2 linked regions of the Ovis aries genome follow. The protein of the gene in region 1 purifies or fractionates together with the protein of each later gene. This does not show direct contact. Links are inferred from orthologs where the notes say so. Each region holds a gene or a part of one and is shown in the gene's direction. Other genes may lie near its edges.

The links.
Region 2: the proteins of SH3PXD2A (region 1) and FGD1 purify together in Homo sapiens (affinity purification with mass spectrometry; 3 studies listed by BioGRID and IntAct, with this or other methods). This does not show direct contact. The link is inferred for Ovis aries from reciprocal best matches to the Homo sapiens genes SH3PXD2A and FGD1.

The regions. Positions count from the first base shown.
Region 1 is NC_056075.1:23,856,660-23,860,159, reverse strand, and holds part of SH3PXD2A (SH3 and PX domain-containing protein 2A), read left to right. Parts: intron 1-1,648; coding exon 1,649-3,500. UniProt on the Homo sapiens protein: Adapter protein involved in invadopodia and podosome formation, extracellular matrix degradation and invasiveness of some cancer cells. Binds matrix metalloproteinases (ADAMs), NADPH oxidases (NOXs) and phosphoinositides.
Region 2 is NC_056080.1:52,484,052-52,487,551, reverse strand, and holds part of FGD1 (FYVE, RhoGEF and PH domain-containing protein 1), read left to right. Parts: intron 1-1,437; coding exon 1,438-1,496; intron 1,497-1,629; coding exon 1,630-1,776; intron 1,777-2,176; coding exon 2,177-2,269; intron 2,270-2,442; coding exon 2,443-2,522; intron 2,523-3,500. UniProt on the Homo sapiens protein: Activates CDC42, a member of the Ras-like family of Rho- and Rac proteins, by exchanging bound GDP for free GTP. Plays a role in regulating the actin cytoskeleton and cell shape.

The DNA.
Region 1 (3,500 bases):
ATTAGGAAGTGCTGTTGTTGGGAGAGTGTGGAGCAGGCAGCCACAGTAAGGTACTGAGGACCCCAGTTCTGACCATGTCCACACCACAGGCACCTCTGAGCTTTGATTTAGGCACTTCTCCCCCAGGCGTTAATGAGCTTTGTCTGCAGACGGGTCGTAGGCCCTTTCCTGCTCCCTCCCAGTCCATCCTCTAGCATTTGTTCCCCCAGGTTTTGATGAGTTCTCTCTAGAGATGGGTCATAGGCCCTTTCCTGCTCCCTCCCAGCCCGTCTCCTAGCATTTCTGAGACCCCGCTCTGTGGCCAGCCCTACACATGGCATTCCAGGGGCCAGAGAAGATCCGTGACTCAGCCATTTCTCTTGGGTGGCTCTGTGTAGTAATAGAGTTAAATCCAATACTTCCTGTAAAACCATCAGAAGAGTAATTGGGCCGTCTCTACCTATTGAGGAGGTGATATCCCCAAAGTGGATGTTTTAAATCACATGCCTAGAACTTAGAACTAAATTTCCAAGAGAAATCATCCTCTCAGTGGTGCCTGTGCTTCCAGAAGAGCCTACAGAGTTCATGGTGTAAGAGAATTGACATTCTTAGGATCTACACAAGCAGGCATTTTGAGTGTGGAGTGGGCAGAGCGAGGGATGAAATGTAGGACCCAAGGCAGGGCAGGGTTTGCCGAGAGCTGGCCTCAGAAGCACTCTCCTCCTTCCTCGCTTGCCCCTCTTCCCCTACAGCCAGTGCTCTCAAGCCTCCCTCCTTCTCCCTGGGACCCTTCTTCCAGGAGTGTTCCACAGTTCAAAATTACAGTTGTCCCTTGGGATCCACGGGGGGTTGGTTCCAAGACCCAGATCCTGGGATGCTCAGTGCCCTTATAGAAAATGAGTGCAGCTGGCCCCTGTATCCTGGAATGCGGAGCCTGCACACATGGAAAGCCCTTGGTACAGCCGGCAAGCACACTCCTGGCCTTTCTCCAGTCTCAAGTAGCAGTTTAGAAACAAGCTTCTTGAGTGAGTTTATACTCATGTGGGAATGACTGAGAGCCCCAACCTTCCCATGGGAAACCAACTCAGAGATCTCCTCAGTGGTGGGATTTCAGTAGTGTGAAATGACCATGTGCAGTGGGGAAACCAGGGAGATCTGGTCTCAGGCTTTACCTTTGAGTTCCACTCACCTGCACCCTCCTGTTCTCTTCTGCCCTGAGAGACCCTTTCCAGGGACCCCAAGGGAGGGCCAGAAATGCATGGGTGATTGGGGGATGGGAGTGGTCCAGTGGCAATCTTCTGTACAGATGGGTCCCTGGCTAGTGGGGTTTTGTAGGGACTGAGAACAGGGCATCTTCTAAGCATAGCGGCTCAGCAGGAAGGGAAGTGAGGGTCTGTGCAGGAGGCCAGCTCCACCAGGGTGTTGACGGAGACTTGGAAGAACAGGGGCGGGGGCTTTGGAGAAAGGGAATCCCCCACCCTGGAGATGACAGAGACCTGGGTTTGAATGCCAGCCCATCACTTCGTTGGGTCCTGCGCCACTTAGTGGTGTTAGCTTGTCCAGGAAGTGGAGATACTGTCTTCTAGAGCCTAGTGTCAGGGCCTAGCCCACACACGGTCAGGCGCCAGCGAGTCCCCCACCTCACTGGCCTGCCTGCCCCTTCCCCCAGGTCATTGACAAGAACTCAGGTGGCTGGTGGTACGTGCAGATTGGTGAGAAGGAGGGCTGGGCCCCCGCGTCCTACATCGATAAGCGCAAGAAGCCCAACCTGAGCCGCCGCACGAGCACTCTGACACGGCCCAAGGTGCCCCCGCCAGCGCCACCCAGCAAGCCCAAGGAGGCCGACGAGGGTCCAGCCGGTCCCAACGAGAGCCAGGACTCCCCTCTGAGGCTCAAGTACGAGGAGCCCGAATACGACATCCCTGCCTTTGGCTTCGACTCAGAGCCGGAGCTGAGTGAAGAGCCCACGGAGGACAGTGGCTCAGGAGACAGGCGGCCCACCCAGCCCCGCAGGCCCTCGCCCGCCTCCTCACTGCAGCGCGCCCGCTTCAAGGTGGGCGGATCCACAGAGGACGTGGCCCTGGAGGAGGAGACCATCTACGAGAACGAGGGCTTCCGGCCATGTGTAGAGGACGGCCTGTCAGCCAGACGCTCCTCCCGAGACAGCGACTCCCCAGGGGGCTCCCCACTGTCCCTTGCCAGGAAAAATTCCCCCAAATCGGACTCCCCCAAATCATCCTCGCTTCTGAAGCTCAAGGCAGAGAAGAACGCCCAGGCAGAACTGGGGAAGAACCACTCCTCGGCCTCCTTTTCCTCGTCCATCACCATCAACACCACCTGCTCCTCCTCCTCCTCCTCCTCCTCCTCATCCTTGTCCAAGAACAGCGGGGACCTGAAGCCCCGTTCCGCCTCGGACGCGGGCATCCGTGGCACTCCCAAGGTCGGGGCGAAGAAGGATGCCGACCCAAAGGTTGGGCTGACCTCATGTGCCCGGGCCAAGCCTTCAGTGCGGCCCAAGCCGTTCCTGAACCGCGCAGAGTCCCAGAGTCAAGAGAGGATGGACATCAGCACTTTACGGCGCCAGCTGCGGCCCACGGGCCAGCTCCGGGGCGGCCTCAAGGGCTCCAAGAGCGAGGATTCCGAGCTGCCCCCCCAGACAGCCTTCGAGGGTCCCAGCGAGGGGTCCAGGAGAGGCTCGGCTGACCTCATCACCCTCCCTGCTGCCTCGCCCCCCTGTCCCACCAAGAAGGGGCGGGAAGGGCAGGCCACCTCCTACACCACATGCAGTGCCTACCAGAAGGTCCAGGACTCGGAGATCAGCTTCCCCGCGGGCGTGGAGGTACAGGTGCTTGAAAAGCTGGAAAGCGGCTGGTGGTACGTGAGGTTTGGGGAGCTGGAGGGCTGGGCCCCCGCCCACTATCTGGTGCTCGGCGAGAAAGAGCCATCCGACCCGCCTGGCAAAGAGACGGACACAGTGGCCCCCAAGAGCAAGCAGAACGAGGGCAAGTCAGACAGCCTGGAAAAAATCGAGAAGCGCGTCCAAGCGCTCAACACCGTCAACCAGAGCAAGAGGGCCACGCCGCCCATCCCCTCCAAGCCGCCCGGGGGCTTCATCAAGACCTCGGGCGCCGGGGCGGTGAAGATGAGGAACGGCGTGCGGCAGGTGGCTGTCAGGCCCCAGTCGGTGTTCGTGTCCCCGCCACCCAAGGACAGCAACCTGTCCTGTGCCCTGAGGAGGAACGAGTCGCTCACAGCCACCGACAGCCTCCGAGGCGTCCGCCGGAACTCCTCCTTCAGCGCCGCCCGCTCTGCAGCCGCAGAGGCCAAGGGCCGCCTGGCTGAACGTGCTGCCAGCCAGGGCTCGGAGCCCCCCCTGCTGCCCACTCAGCGCAATGGTATCCCCGTGTCCCCTGTGCGCCCCAAGCCCATTGAGAAGTCCCAGTTCATCCACAACAACCTCAAAGATGTGTACGTCTCGATCGCGGACTATGAAGGGGACGACGAGACTGCGGGCTTCCAGG
Region 2 (3,500 bases), on another chromosome or scaffold:
ACACTTTGACATAATTTCTTACTGGTATTTTTTATACACATATATTTGTGGCATTGAAATCATGTCATATACACAAGTTTGTATCCTTTCCTTTTCCTAAAATATCCTGAGAATTTCACAGATCATGAAAAATCCTACAAAAGCATCATTTGCAAAGGTTGTTTAGTATTGTGTTATATGAATGCACATTACTCTCTTTAACTGAACCCCTACAGTTGTATTATTTCTGGTTTGACATTATTGTAAACACCACTGCAACAAAAGTGTATTTGTACACAGAACACGTATTTTCTTAGCATAGATTCCTATCATCAGAATTATTGAGGCAAAGAATAGAACTGTCTCTGTTTCTTTATATGACTTGTTTTCTGATTATAAAAGGTAATACGTATTCTTTGTCAAAAAATTGGAAAAAGAAGACAGTGAAATCACCCATAGTCCCATCATCTAGAGACAACTTTTTTTCAAATTTATTTTAATTGGAGGCTAATTACTTTACAATATTGTAGTGGTTTGTGCCATACATTGACATGAATCAGCCATGGGTGTACATGTGTTCCCTATCCTGAACCCCCCTCCCACCTCCCTCCCCATCCCATCCCTCCGGGTCATCCCAGTGCACCAGCCCTGAGCAGCCCGTCTCATGCATTGAACCTGGACTGGAGATCTGTTTCACATATGATAATATACATGTTTTAATGTTATTCTCTCAAATCATCCCACCCTCGTCTTCTCCCACAGAGTCCGAAAGACTGTTCTATACATCTGTGTCTCTTTTGCTGCAGAGACAACTTTTTTAAAAAAATTATTTATTTTTGGCTGCAGTGCGTCTTCCTTGCTGCAGGAGGGCTTTCTCTAGTGGTGAACAGGAGCTACTCTCTAGCTACAGTGCTCAGGCTTCTAGTTACAGTGGCTTTTCTTGTTGCATACATAGCATGAGCTCTAGGTGCGCGGGCTTTAGTAGTTGCAGCTAACCGCTCTAGAGCACAAGCTCCATAGTATGGCACACGGACTTAGTTGTCCTATGACATGAGATCTTCTCAGAACAGGGATCAAACCCATAAAACCCTGCATTGGCAGGCAGATTCTTTACCACTGAGCCATCAGAGAAGCTCCTGAGACAATTTGTTAAACATGAGTATATGTCCTTCCAGTTACAGGTGTAACTATTACTGTTATTTTGTTAGTGGTAATAATAATCTTAAGCTTGCATTTTATTGGCTGCCAGCTATTTCATGTCCTGTGGTTCTGCTACTACTGTGGCATTAATCGAGTCATTTTCTGATTTTAAGTGATGTTGCTATGGACATCTTTGAGGCTGGCACTTTCTGGAATGGGGAGGGTGTGGCCAGACCAGGAGGAGGTATTCAGGGAGCAGAGAAGCTCCCAAAGCCTTTTTTCTGCTAGCCCCTATCTGACCTCCCACTCTGTCTACAGAGTCTCTGGAGCTGATAGCCACAGCAGCAGAGCACTCTAATGCTGCCATCCGCAAAATGGTGAGTGGCCCCTCTAGCCCCTGCCTTTCCTTGGCCAGCCACCTATCTCCATCCTGGGGAGTGGGAGGCTTGCAACCTGTGGACATCTGAGGGGAGGCCGGAACCTCAAACCTTGCCTTTTACTCACTACCAGGAGCGAATGCACAAGCTGCTGAAGGTGTACGAGTTGCTAGGAGGTGAGGAAGACATTGTCAGCCCCACCAAAGAGCTCATAAAAGAAGGCCACATCCTTAAGCTGTCAGCAAAGAATGGGACCACTCAAGACCGATACCTCATACTAGTAAGTGCCAGGGGTAGGGGTGCAAGTGGGCCACACCACCCCCACCCCGCCATGCCACATTGACCCGGTACTCACTCAAGGCTGTACTTCCTGCTCTCCATTCCTTCCTCTACTAATGCATTGCATTTGTACTACCTATACTGGGCATTTTTTTCTCAACTTTACAGATTATGTAACTAAGACTTAGAGAGAACTGACTTGCCCAAGGCCACCCAACTAGGAAGTGACTCCCATGCCTAGGCTCTTTCCTTGCAACCTTTGTGCCCAATCTGGTCTGTTTTTTCTATCTATTGCTTTGAGTCCCCAGCAGTAAAGCTTCAGGAGTCCTATAAGGGAAGGGAGCTGAGCCATAGCCCTTGTGGGGCCTCCACACATACATCCAAAACCTTTTCCTTCCTAGTTCAACGACCGCCTCCTTTACTGTGTGCCCAGGCTGCGGCTCCTTGGCCAGAAGTTTAGCGTGCGGGCACGCATTGATGTAGATGGCATGGAGGTGAGCACCAGGAGGTGGGAAGGGGGACCTGGAGTGGGACCTTGGTGCTGGGAGGAACAAAGATGTTCTGACTCTGACCCCCAAGTGTGTGCATGTGTGCAGAGGGCGAGGGCCCTGTGGAGCTCAGTAGGTGAGCTCAGTAGTTCACCAAGCCCTTTTCTCTCTCCATTCAGCTGAAGGAAAGTTCCAACCTCAATCTGCCTCGGACCTTCCTGGTGTCAGGAAAGCAGCGCTCCCTGGAGCTCCAGGCCAGGTACTTGCCCTTGCCTATATCTTCTTTCCAGCCTCCTGTTGCCTTCAGATATGCTGAGGCATTCTAGACCTTGTGCCAGGGGACTGGCTACTCCCTAGAGGAGAGAGTATTCCAGAGAAAGGATGGGTCCCTTTCCCCAAAGACGCTTGCTCTTCTGATGGGTTTTGTTAGAGGAGAGGGAAGAATGAGATAGTAATCCAAACATGAGTAACAGTAGCACAAATAGTTTATTGTGGATTCAGAGACTTAAGAGAAATAACAACCAAATGCAGTGCCTGGTCCATGATAGGAGTCTTATTTGAGAAAAACAGCCCTAAGAGACATTTTCAAGACAGTAGGGAAAATCCTAAACATGAACTGGGCATTAGCTACCAGGGCATTATTGCTAACTTTCTCAGGTATGATAATGGTATATGAGGATATAGGGGAATGGCCTTTTTTTTTTGGTGATGCATGATGATGATTTAGTATCATGATATCTGTAACTTATTTTTAAATGATTTATATCAGCCTATATATATATATATATATATATATATATATATACACACACACATATGTATAAGATATAGCAAAATATTTTTTAAATTTGCATCTATGTAGTGAATATATATTTAATGTACTTGTGTTTTCCTATCTACTTTTCTGTATGCTTGAAATTTTTCATAATAAAAAATCTTTACAGAACAAATTTTAAAATAATGTCCAGCCATTTAACAAAGGGGCCTTCATATCCATTCTCTACTTGAATGATTATAATAATAGTTCACATTTAATGAAGACTTGCTCTTGTGCCAGAGGCACAGTTTTAAGTTAATTTTAACTTAAGTTTAAATTTAATAGCTGAACTCTCAAAACCCTTGAAGTAGCCTCTGTTACTATCAACCCCATTTTACAGATGAGGAAACTGAGGCACAGAAGAGTTATACACCTTTCCCAAGATCCCACAGCTAGAAAGAAGCAGAGCTGGAATTGGTG